Linked DNA regions of Lepisosteus oculatus. The protein of the gene in region 2 binds, or shares a complex with, the protein of the main gene of each other region. Links are inferred from orthologs where the notes say so. Each region holds a gene or a part of one and is shown on either strand. Other genes may lie near its edges.

What was found.
Region 1: timm21 (region 2) and coa1 share a complex: the UniProt entries of both Homo sapiens proteins name them as parts of the MITRAC (mitochondrial translation regulation assembly intermediate of cytochrome c oxidase complex) complex. The link is inferred for Lepisosteus oculatus from reciprocal best matches to the Homo sapiens genes TIMM21 and COA1.

The regions. Positions count from the first base shown.
Region 1 is NC_090701.1:24,136,973-24,144,950, forward strand, and holds the start of coa1 (cytochrome c oxidase assembly factor 1 homolog), read right to left. Parts: upstream 3,091-7,978; 5' UTR 3,000-3,090; intron 997-2,999; 5' UTR 933-996; intron 1-932. UniProt on the Homo sapiens protein: Component of the MITRAC (mitochondrial translation regulation assembly intermediate of cytochrome c oxidase complex) complex, that regulates cytochrome c oxidase assembly.
Region 2 is NC_090701.1:376,349-384,442, forward strand, and holds the start of timm21 (mitochondrial import inner membrane translocase subunit Tim21), read left to right. Parts: upstream 1-5,023; 5' UTR 5,024-5,273; coding exon 5,274-5,559; intron 5,560-6,311; coding exon 6,312-6,374; intron 6,375-8,047; coding exon 8,048-8,094. UniProt on the Homo sapiens protein: Participates in the translocation of transit peptide-containing proteins across the mitochondrial inner membrane.

The DNA.
Region 1 (7,978 bases), about 24 Mb from region 2:
TGTTTCTACCTGTGGACACTACAGATTCAGTGACTGAGTCACTTACTGTTCAACACCACTTACCTCATTATGTCATAATCTTTATTATGTCATAATGTCAGACTTCATTATAACATTAAGGTATTAAGGGAGAAATATTGGAAAATATGTCTAGTACTGATCACCCTAATGAGTTATCATTAACTATACAGGTTAAAGCAACTTTTTGCATTTTGAATCTTGCTTTCTAATCAGTCTGTGTCTACATACCACGCTTCTTTTTTCATAAGATGGACATATATATTGCATGATATGCACATACCACATGTTAGGAACTCTTTATTGTAGAGGAACTTTTTTAACCATGTGTAAACCCTAAAATTGTTTATATATTACATGTACTAATGATATTGTGAAATATACAGTCATTAAAGATATTTAAGAATTCCTGATGGTCACAACTACGATTTGCAATTTGGTACTGCTGTTAGTGTAAGAAATAAAACCGTATTTGACATTTAACTTTACAGGTATTAACCTTATTAACTTGAAAGTCATAGTGTGGGCCAGATCCTGTTTTGGACCACTGTCCATCATATAAGCTCCACTAAACAGGTTTTTCTACGTTATCGAGCAGGAACAAATGATAATGATAAAATGAACATCCACAGAAATACAAACACACTTTACAGTTGAATGTTCTTGTGACATCTGTGTTTCTACTACAAATACAGAACTACTAAAATGGCTTCTTCATTACTCAATTAAATTGCTTTCCATATTAGCTCAGAAGACGAAATTATCCTGCACCAAAGACTGCCTGAAAGCTTTGTTTGATGAAACACCGGACTGCTCTTTAGAAATGAAAAAAATATATTCTCAAGGAGGAAAGAGGAATTCAGTTCAGAAGAGGATGATAAAGAGATTTCCGAATGCCAGCTAGTTATGGTTACCTTGTCTGGTAGCTCTACAAGTCACAGATTAAAAAAAAAACCCAGATAACGTTTTCGCCTGACCCTGCAAAGAGAAAAATGCATGAATGAAAAAGATACTGCCAGATTAATTACTGTAGTGTTAAACTGAAAGGTTATATCTCTTTCCCTAGAATAATTAAAAACTACACACTGAAAGTGCAGCTTTCAAATTGCTTGGACCAACATACAGAAAACAATGTTTACAAACAAATGCTTAAGTTGTTCTGAAAACCTTTGCATGATATTAAGTATATTAAATTTATGCAACCATCATTTAAAATGACAAGCCTCTGTAGAAAAAAAGCAGGAAGATAAGTTCAGACAAAAAAAGGCGTTATGTTACGGAAGAAACTAATAGTGTCAACCTTTATTATACTGTTATGATGTACTGCCATCTAGTGGACAAAAATACTATTGCTGCCGCAGAACATGTTGGGTTGGCAGTGTTGGCATCAAGAACAGATAGAAAGACAGATAATATTGGCTAATAATAATCATGGTTACATGAACATGAAATTTAGCTACTACCCAGTGGAAAGTGGCCAGAGCACATGTACTGAAGCTATCTAATCAGACTATGATAATCTGAGACTTGTTATCCTCATAAAACAAGGGAGATGGAGTAGAAGGTTCCTGGTGTAAAGGGTTTTTTTTTAGATGCAAGAACTTAAATTGGGATGACTGCAACGGTTTGTAAGAACTAAACTGGAAGATTATCTCTATGGCAATAAGCTTAGAGTCAACATGGAAAATTAACAGAAAACAGAGTAGTACAGAAATAATATCATACAATTGAATCAACGGCTGTTAAGTTACTGCCTGCAGCTCCTTTAGCAAATCACCTGTAATGGCTACATGGACACAAAGTTTTCACTGTATTAAGCATAACTGCACTACTTGCATATACTGCATACACCATGGACACATAGCAGCTCTGCTCATATTGAGTTTTATTCAATTTCTATTACATCTATAATTATGTAACCTTATTTTCATAACCTCAATTTTGTGATTTTTGTGTTTTTGTGATTTTTGTGATTCTTGTGATTTTCGTGAGCTTGCAGAAAAGACATTTCATTGCCAGCAACTACTGCTGCACGCTGTATTGTTGTGCATTGGATAAATAAACTTTGATTTGATTTGATTTAAAACCTTACCATTCACTTGTAAGAGTTAGGTCAGAAAACTGTGCACAACTAGCTTCCTCTGATTTATAAACTTTCTTATGTTCTTATTCACTAATAAGTAATGACAACATGTCAAAATTAAAGGAATTACACAATTACCACCTCTTATCTGAAGACTTTGTTGTCTTCAAGCAGAAGATCATTTTAAATATACAGGCATATTTGATCACTAAAAGTAGTCATTTAAGATGGACAAATCTTTCATCTTTAATATACTCTAGCACTCCACACCTTCCAGAGTGGACAGATACAGTTACCTCCTCCTGCCTTTTTTCTTTATAACAATAGATAGATACGGTAGATCCCCCTTTCTGTATCTTTGCTTTGTGTCCATCCAAGAAGATGTCCCTTTTTCTCTTTCTCTCAGGACTTAACTCCCTTCCCCAGTGACTAGCATGTAAAAAGGACAATTAACATCCTCCAGTCTATTTTTCCCCACTCCTGGTCGACACCAAACTTGTTTCACCACTATACCAATATCACCTACTGTGGGGTAGGTGAAGTATTGTATTTCTAACATTTTTAGCGCTGAACATGGATTTATACTGTAGTAAATGTATACTGTAATTCCGACGTTAGAGCTACGATAAACATTTTAGTATACCTCATGTTAAATGTAGTATCATCTTATCAAAGATCAATATTAATGTGACACGGTGCAATAGACGGTTCTATGAAAATGATCAAATCAATCCAGTACAGAAGCTGGACTAGATATGAGTTGTCTGCATCGTAATTAATTTAAATTAGTTTTAAAACGAAATAAACAGAATTCACGTTGGGTAACATGAATTGTGCCTGTATCAAAAACCAAAACTTGTCAATGAATAAGTGACATTTAAATCGCACAGTGACTTACACAATTTTTTTACACATCCTCCAAGGGGGCAGCCATTTTAGTCTTGAATGTCATATCTTTATTAACAAGAAGACAAGCTAAGTGGTTAACATGAGCACAACATTGGGGTCAGTTTTCTTAACACTAAAATATTTTCACATCCCAAACATCATTAATGTTCTAGGGGGCATTATGTAATCAAAAGGCTTGCGTATCTACTCCATGCACCCCGACCTAAGTCCTTTTGTTATATCGTGATAGGAGATACTATGCAGAAACGCCCGGGTGTGGTTACGTCACTGAAAACCTCTCCTGTTTGACATGTGCGAGTTATGAAAGTTGTATCTAAATTAGTTACATCATTTAGCGATCAGTTACAGCAGTTGACAGGAGCGACAGCGAAGAGAAGGACGATAAAAGACGGGTAAGCTACAGTAGGTGAATAGCTTTAATGAACGCCACATGGCAAAGATGGAAAAAATAAAGAATGCATCATCACTGCTTTCAGTTTTAGTGTTGTGTAACCTCTGCAAATTGGTTTATGCAGTCTTTAAGTTTATTGTCTATATCTTGTTTGATTTCGTCTATTTTAATCTAGTATTGTTGAAAAACACTCACACATTTAATATTTGGTAACGGTTAAGCAATGTTTCTTTATAGAGTTTGTTTTAGGCTTGCCACTGCATCAATGTGAGCTGTAAAATTGTTACATAACCCAAAGTGTATTTTATTAAATACTGTCTGCCTGCGTCCTCATGTTAAAAGTATGTAAAAAGTTTTGTTTAGCTTTTCATGCCTCACTTTTACCAAGAGTTCCCTAAGTAAGATCTGTCTGGTATTATTAGTATTGGGTTATGAACAGTTTTTATATGAATTTTCGTGATGATTGATGTATCCTTGGCCGATGTAGAAATGTAATATATTTTAAAAACATCATATTGTAAGAGACTCCCGGGTGTTTATTGAGTTATGACAGAAAGAGATGTGAAACTGCTGTATTATGCGTTTTAGTAGTTATTAATACAATGTTGGTCAATTTCTTTGGTCAGACAGAAACCCTTAGCTTGCAGATTTTTTTTAATTAAAAGGTTTCGCTTGACAGTTGTTGGATATGACACACTTGAGGTCGTGGATGTATGCACCTCTTTTCCTTTGCACGAGTCATCTGCTTTATGGAAACATTTGAGACAGTGGATGTCAGATAATCCGAGTGTTGTCCAAAAAATATTTGAAATGACCTTTTAGGTTATAAGAGGCGTTCTAACAGTGATGGATCAATTAATTTACAGGGCTTCACAAGATAATCCGAATATTCAAGATAATGATTTGTCGCTATTCGTCTTGGCTTTGTTTTGGATTTATTTTAGCGGTCTACAGTACGCTTTAGGTTTTGTGTGTTTCGACTTTTTTGATGGCTTCACCATTTGACCTGGGTGTACTTTCAGGTTTTTCGGCAGTGTTTGATGGAAATGTACAGCACTGTAGCGAGCCCTTTACCTGAATTAATACATATTTTACTTTAGTATTTTTCGGGTCTGTATAAAATCCCAAGTTTCATTAAGTCGAAAAAAGGTCTAAAACCGAACACCACGACTTTCCATCTATGAATTGGCTTCATTACTCTGCTCTCCTCCCCACTGATACTATCAGTGATAGCTGATGTGCGGTGAGCGTTCTGGCCCACTATGGCTGCCGTCGCATCATCCAGGTGGATGCTGCACATTGGTGGTGGTGGAGGGGAGTCCCCACTACCTGTAAAGCGCTTTGAGTGGAGTGTCCATAAAAGCGCTATATAAGTGTAAGCAATTATTATTATTATTATTATTATTATTATTATTATTATTATTATTATTATTATAAGATGTCCAAGATTTCCTGAATATGTGGAATTGGCTAAGAATCTGGAATAGTCTTTTTATTTAGCTCCCTGTAGTAAAGGCACTGTCGAAATACATCATACTATTTACAAAAACAAATGACAGAAGAGGAAGTTCAGGTGGGTAGCTGCGTCAGCATGCGTAGGCTGCAAAGGAACAAGTAATAGGTTTATTCCATGCTGAAAAGAGAAGAAAGAAAACAACGTTTCGCTGTGGAGCCTTCTTCAGCTGAAGAACAGAGGAGGAAGATTGTTTTGACTTGGTTCTACATCCTGTGGCAATTAAAACTTCTAAATTCATGTTTTTTGTATGTACATCTATGTTTTTTGTTTTTTGGCAGTGGAGCCTTCTTCAGGTGTAAGAAGGACAGGGCAGTAAGCAAAGGTAATATAGCATAGGAGAACAAAAGCTGGGAGAGAGGAGGGGCGAGAGGTGGGAGCGTGGGACAGACAAAGTGGCCAATCAGGTAGTATGATGTCACGATAGGTGAAGAGAGGTGTGAAATGAAACCTACAATGAAAAGAGAGAATTTAGAAGAAAATCAGTCTGTCATTGAGAGGAAAAAGGTGTGATCCTAACTGCAGGATACGTTTAGTTTCTGTAGTCTTTCTGATGTTTGAATTAGGAAAACCAGCTTTGAGAACACAAATGGAGAGATTAGTGTGATCATGGCCGTCAGAGGTGAAATGAGAAACAATGGGCTTGGAGAAATCTTTAATCTTTACAGCCCTGGCACGTTCTCTGAAGCAGTCTCCGAGTCTCCTTCCTGTTTACTGCAAGAAATACAGTAAATAAGGTTGCTGGAGGTACAAGATGTCATCCGAGTGATCTGGAATTGTTCTGAGAGGCCTTGAATGAGTGTGGTGTTAGATACATTCTTGCAGCTGATACAACGAGCTCTGTTGCAAGGGAAAGTGCCTGGTGTGGATGGTTGCTGAGGGCGGTCAAGGGAGCTGTGAACAAGAAGGTTACGCAGATTAGGTGGTTGACGATATGAGATGATGTTTCGGTCAGAAAAGAGAGCCCCAATGCAGGGATCATCCTGTAGGATGGAAAAATTGTCGTTAATAGCCCTGGGGATAGGAAGTGAGGGTGGTGGGGAAGCACCAAAGGAATGCGGTTGTTAAGGCGGAAATTCTTGATTGAGTTGATGGTCCAAGGGATGTTTTGGGCTCAGGCAAGGGCTCTGTCAATAACACTGCTAGGGTATCCTCTGTTGATGCTAAAAGAGTACATTTTGAGGGGTTGGTTCTGGAAATCGATGTCGCTGCAGAGTCGTCGTAGCCGAGGGAACTGTGAAAAGGGGAGAGAGTTTTTAGTGTGTTTGGGGTGAAATAAGCTATACAGGAGATAGTTGTGTGAATCAGTGGGTTTGTAATAGACTGAAGTAGAGAGTCAGGGATAGTTAATGGAGAAGTTGATGTCTAGAAACGGAAGAGTAGTGGAAGATATGTTAACTGTATATTTGAGTGACGGGTGGAAGTTGGTGAAGTTTTGTTTTTAACAGAAAAAAAAAACATTTCTGACAATTTGGTCTTTGGTCTTCATAGAGATGACTTAAGTTAATTGGGGTTTACCAATTCACCATTACAGAACTGTTACAAGAATTTGTATCTGTTTCTCAGTGCCCATCTACCTTAGGACATCTACCTTAAGAAGATTTTTGTTTTGTCTTTCCATGTGAATCCTTTTAAATATCGATTTCAGATTTTTACTGCAGTCTTCCCAGTAAGGTTCTGCTTCTCAGTGTAATGTGCTCAGTAAGTTTGCCAACAGGAGTAAGTTTGTTAAGGAGTAAACTTCTACGCTGTTGTGTGCTGGGGGTGCAGCATCATGGCAAGAGATGTAAGTAGACTCAATAAACTCATCAAGAAGGCTGGCTCTGTTTTGGGGCTGAGCCGTGACCCCCCTGGAGGTGGTGACAGAGAGAAGATTGCTGACCAAGCTCACAGCCATCATTAACAATGCATCTCATCCGCTACATGGGACTGTTATTAGACAGCGGAGCACTTTTAGTAACAGACTGCTCCAGCTACGGTGTTCAAGGGAACGTTTCCACAGGTCCTTCCTCCCGGCGGCTGTCAGGGTGTATAACACTGCCCTAGGCTAGGCTGTCTATGGACAGCATGTTGCACTAATGTAATTTTTGGACACTGCAGTAATATACTGTTTATACTGTGGTACTTTCAATCTGTATATACCTATGCACATTTTGCACAAAATCTATATTGTATTGCTTTACAATAAAATGGAGCGGTCACTATTATTATGTATCAGTGCTATGGTAGATATTTTCCAGTGAGCGGATATTACCTCTGTTTCAACAGACTTCAGGAAGAGTTTTCATTATGGTCTATGACTAACATTTGTTTCTTTGAGAATAATTGGTAGAATACTCTAGATATTTATCTTATCTGCTTCTAGTGTCTGTAATAATTTCCTGTGCTAATATTTATTAAAATAGAAATTTCTGTCATTGTCTGAGGCATGTTTTCTGTTCACATAGACGTACACAACGTGAAAAGCTTATCTGCAGAACTGAAGTAATGTTTTTCAAGGGAATGGACAGGGCCATTGTGGGTTGTGATTCACACAAGAGGAAAGGGGGACCCTGGATACAGTCCTACAACCTGACTCCCAGTCTCATAGTGGTGGCAGTTTCCCTTTCTAGCTCAGGCTGTGTGGATCTATATTATAACATTATGGAAGACATAGAAAAAGATTCTTTTAACAAACATTTTGAGAATTCCTTTTATCCTTTCAGAGGTATTGCATCCTGGCTGATATTTTTAAAGAAATAATAACATAGTAGAATGGTTGTGTGTTTTGTCAAATGAGCTTTATTTTATCTGTTATTGGGACTTGGTGAGGATTACTGTAGGTGGAAGGTCACATATGTCGAAATATGTTGAACCATAAAAACGTAGGTTGTGAGGCATGTGCTTACTTTTTCACCACATTGTATTCTGTTCACTGGCAGTGTGAGTCTCAGAGGCTCCTCATTCACAGACTGCTCTATGATTTTCTGATAGGCCCTGGCATATTCCATCCCTTCAGGAGTCTTTAAGAGTTCAGTATCCACAGTGTTCCAGGTGTGCTCTTTGTTTTGTATACCTTCATGTT
Region 2 (8,094 bases):
CATTATAAAGTTTTATAACATATCCCATTTTGCTGACCATTACACATATACTGAATGTTTCAATACTCTGTTTATTTTGGCCAGGAAATTAAACATATTTAATGACTTTATAAAAGTTTTGCTTAAGGAGTATTATTGAATGTCAGGTATGGCTGCATTACTTCTTTGGCTCTGTCTTGTTTTATCTCAGGCTGTAGATGTTAAAACCTAAACTCCTTCTTCTCTCTGTCCTGGTTTCTAATCCCAAGTACAGATCATACTGCATTGTTTAGATGGTCTAAAATATGTGATCTGTTTAAAACCTGAGACAAGTGATATGTGAAGATATGACACCAGCCAGCAACCTGGCTGTGTAATCGACTGCTGGGTCTTTGAACGAGGAACCTGAAAGAAGGCAGAGCTGGAGGGAACAAGGTGAATTTCCAGGACTGCTGGCAGAGCAGACACAGTGGCATGTTCATGTTGCCATAACTACCCTTCACAAGTAATGGCATTCTGTGAAAGAAACTGAAATTAAAGTCTGTGTTTTGCACATCAGGGAGTAGAATTAAATTAACAGAAACAACTAAACTGGTAGCTATGCCAAATCAAATAGCAGAGATCGAATAGGGAAAAAAGAGAAAAAAAAATATCCAGACTAATTTTTCCCAGCCAGCTCTCAGCTTCGTTAAAGCAGCAGAAGAGAAGAGTGTAACATATGAAACAATGTTAAAATAGGAACAGCCTTAACCCATCAGAATATCAGAACATGCAGGGAAACACATACTGCACTGCACGTGTGGCAACAGCAAGGAGGTCTTGAGTAGTTTAGAGATGTAACCATTTCAATCTTCACTATCATGCAATACCCTCAGGAAAGCGATTCACTGGTGATAATGGCCATTAACACACAGTTGGACTGCAGCTGCTGTACTGTAGGTGTCTTAATCCAGAAATAAAGTCAACAGGTTCTGGAATAGGTGTCTTGGCCTGTTCAGTCCCTGATCTGATTGAGACAGTAAATTTAACAGGAGAGGTAAAGAGAAGACAGCAATGAGCACCTTCTGTACATGCTGATTATACACAGGAGTATACAGGGGTGACTAGGGCTGATCTGACAGCAGTCTTCGGGGGTGCACTGCTGACATTGTGTGACAGACTCACTCAGGTCTGTGCAGGGGGGGCTGCCAGCATAGCAACATTTTGATCTGTAGTCGATTGCCACCAAACATCTCATTTCCTTTCCAGAAGGGAGAGGACATTTCTGCAGAACACCCGTTTGTGCAGAATCTTTTTAACTTGTACATAGTAATTCCAGAAGATCCAAAAAACATGGTTTTGTATAAAGTGAGATTATTTATTAATTAATTATTCTGCTAGGTATCAGATCCATGATTACACAATCATACTGTCTTTCTATAACTCTATATACCATCCCATAGTGTGCATTGCCCCCTGTACTTTCCATACTAGGTGTTTATTTACAAATAGGGTTTTTTTTAATTACGCTTTAACTGTTTAGTCCCAGATGGGTTAATGAACTTCAAGTAATACCCAGGTTGCTGATAAACCATTGCTGTTATCACTGACAGGCATGCCACCATGTAACCCATTTACTTACAAGCGCCTGGGTGTGAATGGCAGCAGAAAAAAATACACATTTACCAGCAGTAGCTCTTTCCAATTTGTTGGTACACTAGAACTGCAATTGCAACTACTTCCTAGTTCTTTACTTCCAGTACCAGGCAAATAACAATACTGCCTCTAGACTGGTAGATTCCCTAGATCCGTGTGTGGTTCCATGAAGTAAAAACCTGGCATTTCTTTAAAGAATCTGCTCAACAAAGTGTGTTAATGGTTTTCCTGTACTTTGTGTGAGTGTGAGGGAAACGGCACAAAGCCGCCTCACTCACTTGCCCGGGCCCCTGTCACAGAGAGAGATTTCAGACGGGGCTGAGGTCACGTCTGTAACACTTTCAGCACACTGAGCAGCGTTACACAGAGACCTTCAAATCTAGAACAATTAAGTCAGCAATTCATTCAAGAAAGATCATTAGAAGTCCAGGGAGAAATTAAAACTGCACGACACCACGGTCCCGCAGAACAAGCGATGCGCTCCGGAATCATTATTAACATAGCGCCACCTTTACAGCCTTTCCGACGCAGTGTGCACCGATTTCGAGTCCATTGAATTTATTTCCTCTGCATTATAACCACCTTTGTGCATCATAACGTCAGTCATACATGAGCAGCATTAATTTACTACAAAGAAAAAAAATACTGTTCCATCATATATACAGAGAAAAGCATATATATATATATTAAAAGTTTCGGGCTCGGCGAGGACGTACTCGGTGACTCGGACACTCGTTGAGTTAAGAAAACAGCGCTTTTATTAAACTTCGGTACACCCAATCACAGCACACCTGCGCCCGCGCCCCAGCAGAGCAGAAGACTGACTCTGGAAAAAAACGAGCAAGCGCCTGAGAGAATCGAGAAAGAGCAACACACTGGGGTCTACTCGGGTACCTACACCGGTATAGGGTGGCAGGTATTTCGTACCTGGTGCGAAACCAGGGAACTATTTACAAGAATCCGAGTGATCTCCCCAGAATGTACGCCAGTACAGTGGGTCAGCTGCACTGGTCAGCGGCTTTACTAGTCCCCCCCGACCACTACTACTCCCGTCCTGCCTCTCGCCGCGCACCCCAGCCGGGCGCTCTTCGGCTGCAGCGCCAGGCGAATGCGCTACAACAGTGGTTCTCAAACTTTTTGGACCAAGTACCACCCCTAATCCAACCAAAGCATCCAAGTACCACCTACAAGTCATCATCTCATAGAAACCCCAGAAACTATCAATGACCAACATGAGCGCATGTGCACACACACTCACACATACATATAATAAATATTATAATAATAAACTTTGTTTGATATATTAAAATGTGGCTTCTCAAAGTGTTTTACAGAAAAAAAACAACACATAAAAATAAAAAAGCACCTGTTTAGAGGGGTGAGCCTGTTTAGTTGAGCAAAGCAGATGTGAATTAATTTTTCGAGCCTTGATACAATTCACAACAGTCTTAACAGATTTTAAATCGTCAGGCATTTTCTTGACGGCAAAGGTCTCGCGGTGGATGTTGCAATGAAACCATTAATTTCTGGAGCAACCTCTCTAATTCGTTCAACTACACCGCTGTGTCGGCTTGTCATTGCTCTAGCACCGTCTGTACAAACTCCGACACATTTTATCCAGTCGATGCCATTCTCTGCGATAAATTCATTCGAAAGCTGAAATACGTGCTCTCCTGTAGTTCCTGTTGGTAGCGGCTTACAGAACAGAAAGTCCTCACGGGACGTACCCTCAAACTCCTATCTAACGTAAACGAGCAAATTGGCCAAATCGACTACAGACTCATCTAATTGCAGTGAAAAACATCTGCTCATCTTAACTCGCGCTGTCAGCGTACTTTTGATATCATATTTCATTTCAATAATTCTATGAATGACTGTGTCTTTCGGGGGGGAGGCAGCAGGTCGATCTGTTCAGCAGCTTTTTCTCCACACCTAATAGTGTGGGGCTTACCTGCTTTAGCAATCCGCAAGCGTGCATTTTTCCACGTTTCCGTTTTTATTTCAGTGTTTATTTTAAGTATTTATTTCATGCGCATGGGAGAGAAACACAGAGACGCTCGGTGTATTTTTGTCAAATTAACTTAGAACAATTTTAAAATAATTTTCTGTTATTTTTCACGCCTTTCTGTGCTCACAAGATTACCAGCGTTCGTAGAACGCATTTCTATGCATTCCTGTGTTTACAACGTTGGCATTGTTCCAAAATCACGCACATTCTCATTTCTCCCTATTTGCTGGAGATACAGTAGCTTTTTTTAAATACAATTGGTCACTTGCGTCCGTAGCACGCATTCCTATAGAGTGGTATAGAATTACAGAGTATCTCTTGTGTCCACTGAAGTATTAGCGCGCACTGTATCGTAGCACCTAGGCTGCGTATTCGACACGTATAAAAATACAAAATATGAAAATCCGTCCCGATTTTTTCAGCGCACACAACACAGTTCCAGGGTCATTTGGCGTACCACTTGGCGGCACGCCACGTACCACTGCCGGTACGCGTACCACAGTTTGAGAACCACTGCGCTACAATATTATTGTTTTTAATATGCAATTACAGACAGCTTTGTCGATCAACCATCTCTGAATTAAATCACGTTTTCTCCATGGTCATAAATCCAAGAGACTTTGGCCAGTTGTTCTACATTTAATTTATCGTAATCTCTACATCTAGTATCAGATTTTCAGTTGTCTTGTCTAATATTGTTGTGACATTTTTTGTGATCATTTTACTGTAAGCGGGTTTCTGTTCTTTCGGGCTTAAACCAATGAAATCACAGCTCCGGTCAGGACTACATTTGTATTGTAACGCTACGGCGTTCACGTCGGCCCCCCACCTTCGGGGACTCGAACCCGGGCCTCCAGCGTCACTCAGCAGGGACCCAGCCTCTTGAGCCTAAGGGGAATCTCCCGTCAGCCCGGCGGCTGCGGTCCCTGCTATTCACAGGGAAGGGCGGTGACGTCACCGCGCTGGTCAGCCGGCTCTCACGAGCAATGGAGGCCGTATGCGTTACAACTATAAATATATATAAAAGGAACGTGTCCTTAGCAATATAAATACTTAACACTAAAATTTTAAAAAAAACGTTATTATGTATGTATATCAAAATCGAATTCCTTATAACAAAGGATAATTTTCAATTTCAACAATATAATTTCATATTGACACATTATAGTTAACCAAGTTCATATGGTTCTGATTTATTTTATGATACAAATTAAATTAAAATTAAGTAGCATAGCAACTCGCGTGTATTAGGCGACAATCTTGCAACACGATGAGCATCACTAATCGAGCCCCGATCAACAGGCTCGCTGGCTTGAAACGGTGCGCGCAGTGCATGCTGGAAATTGTAGTTTGCCTCTCACGAGTGCCTCGCTGATACCGCTCAACTTGCCTTACGCGAAAACTCCAACTCCTACAATCCCACAGCTGCATAGCGTTACTCTGCAATGGCGAGGTTCTTGGTGGACTACCTACCGAAGACTTCTTAATTAAAGTTACTATCAGTCAAATACACGCGGATTTTTTTTATTTTGCAAAGTTTAGGTGTATTGTTTTTGACATTGCGTTCGGTCAGCCCAAAGCCCATTTTTTGTTGTTGTCGCTTTTTATTAGCATACTTACAACTGTGACAGTTTTATTTCGAAGGGGCAACATGCTGTTTTATTTGATACTGAAGTCCCAGCAGGTGAGGTCAGCCCGGTGCTGCGGCTTTCGATGCTACCGACAGTTGCACAGGGACGGCGGGAGCTTGCAGCGCGCCTCGCCCACAGCTGCCGTGCGGTCCGTCTGTGCGGCCGGGCTCCGCAGCGCCCTGCACGTCCCCAAACTGGGCGTCCTGGCCGATCCCGGGCTCAGAAGGGGGAAGCATGAAAGTTCAGGGCAGTTACCCGCGCAGGGGCGCCGAGGCGACACTTCGACACTGTCCACAGCCCAGAAAGGTGAGGGACTGGCCCGGGAGCCGAGGTCGCGATTTGCCCTGGACGCTATCTGGGACAAGGTACTCACGGTGGAGCTGGGTGGCCTCCCGGTAATTCATTGGTGTAGGCAGGAAGACAGTGATACCAGTTTCCCTCGCTGTCCAAAAGCAATGACAGTGTCAAGCCAGTGGATTTAAGAGTGAAACAATAGCAAGAGGACAAAAATGGAAACTGCTTGGAACTGCGTTTAAAAGTTTACTCAAAGGGCTGTGCGAGTGTGGAACAAGCTACCTTGCCAATATCCTGGTGTAGTTCAAGAAACAGCTGGGTAAAAGCTACCAAACTAGCTACTGTAGGTGGACTGAATGTCCCCATCTCGTTTGTATCCTTTCTTAAAAGGTTTCTGGTAGGTCTTTGTTCTTGGTGGACAAATGAACTGTGTTTGCAAGAATGCTCCTTTGGAAAGTGGGTTAGAGTGAAATTCTGAAACAAGTGTGTATAAGTGTTGCTGGGCAGCAGAGTAGAGTGGTGGTTAGGTTAAGACGGGGAGGTTGGGAGTTCAAATCCCAGGGGCACTGCTGCTGTGTTCCCGAGCACGGGGCTGCACTCAGACTGCTGAAGTAAAATAAGTCTGTAAAATTGGGCACAAGTGCCGCGTTGCTCTGTTTAAAGGGCTCACTCTAATAATAATAAAAGTGTTCCCAGACTGTTTAGACTGGCAAGTATTTTTAAAAAGAGAAACAGTAATGTGCTCTCTTTTCTCCTCCTTGCAGTCAAGAAAGCTGGGAAGGATTTCACGTATCTAATTGTGGTGCTTGTTGGGATTGGAGTAACAGGTAAGTTCTCGTGACCAAGGTGACAGGAGCTTCCTGTTAATACACATTCATTACGGAAAACGGGTGTGTTTTTATTGTTTCATCAATTTAACATCAGTTATGTGCATCTAAGATTTATTATATTTTCACATATGGAAATCAGTTTCAAATTAGAATGCTATAATGTACCTGTACCATATGCAATCCACAGAAACACCAAGAGCGTGAAAACATAAGAAAGGTTACAGAAGTTATGCAAAACCCTGCACTTGCCTGTATTGTCTTCAGCCAGGCGCTCACCCAGTCATGAGATCCACATTGGAGCCTGTGATGGCAATTCTATCCCAAAGGAGTGGGGGGGGCAGTGTTTCATTGGCCTTTGTGTGGGTGAACTGTGTCTGTAAGCAGGAACAATGTTTGTGCAAGAACAACGCTGGAGCACGTCCTCTTAAAACAGATTGAACTGCATATCCTAAAACTGTGTAAGATTTAAAAATATGTCAAAACACAGATCCGGGGCTGTTGTCCACTGCATGGTGGATGAATGCAATTCGATAGACCAAAGAGATAAGAAGTCAGACAGCGAGGTGTGAACTGAGGTGAAACATTACTTTGTCTTTTATCAAAGTAAAGATTCGCAAAAACCCAGTATTTGAACACAGACACTGGTGGGTCACTTTTTAAAGATTTAATCAGATTTGCTTGTTTTACTTACATATTCAACAGTTTACTTCCAAAAATCCCAAATTAGTAGGAGTATGTGTTTTATGGTACCTGGATAAAAAAGAACAACCTTGCACTTCTTCAGTCCATTTTAAAACAGCCTGGAGATGATGGATGTTACAAGCCATTTTCTAGAACTGTATTTATGTTTGATGTTATGATCTTTTCATCAGTCTTAATGTAGAAAACGATCCAGTCAGTTTTTCATTAGTTTTCATTAATGTCTTTGGATTATTAACTCAGTGCAATTTATCAGTGAACATTGCAAGTACAAATGCAGATGACAACCATGTAAACAAAGGAAGGCTTTCCTGAGGTATAACAAGCTATTATTAATTACCTAATTATCTGTCAGTTCACCTTTTAACTCTGCAGAATGTTAATGTGTTGCTGGCAGCTCAGTGTTTGAGGTTAATGCACTGAAAACTACATCATGGTCATTATGGATGGGAGCTGAAACATATCAACTGCTTTTATGCACAATCATGAGTTTGGGATCATGGATAAATTCATCCATTGTATTGCTTTAACATGCTGAACACATTTGCATGCATTGTTTTTACTAAATGAATGAGGGCTATTGAATTTCATTTTTGCAAATAGTGAATTAAGATGCCATGTCTTCATTCTGTTCTTTTGGGGGGAAAAAAGCTTTCTGAATCTGTATTAGGTGGAGGAGTTGGTAGCCATAATTTCTGCATGACTGTGTGTCTTTGTCTTAATTACAAATCGGTTGATTTTCTTTTTCTTCAGTATTTAATACGTATGCTTTTTCAATTATTCTACAGTCCTATGAGTTCAGTTTAAAAAATCATTTCTGTTCAATTTCTCATTCATCTATTGTTGTTTGTATTATGTAGCCACAATATAAAAACTGCAACCACTTTTATTTATAACCTACTATACATTTGAAGCCTCAGAGCACATTGGATTGTTTTGATTAGCCCTCATTGACTCTCTCCTTCCTTCAGGTGGATTATTCTATGTTGTCTTCAAGGAGTTGTTTTCATCTTCTAGT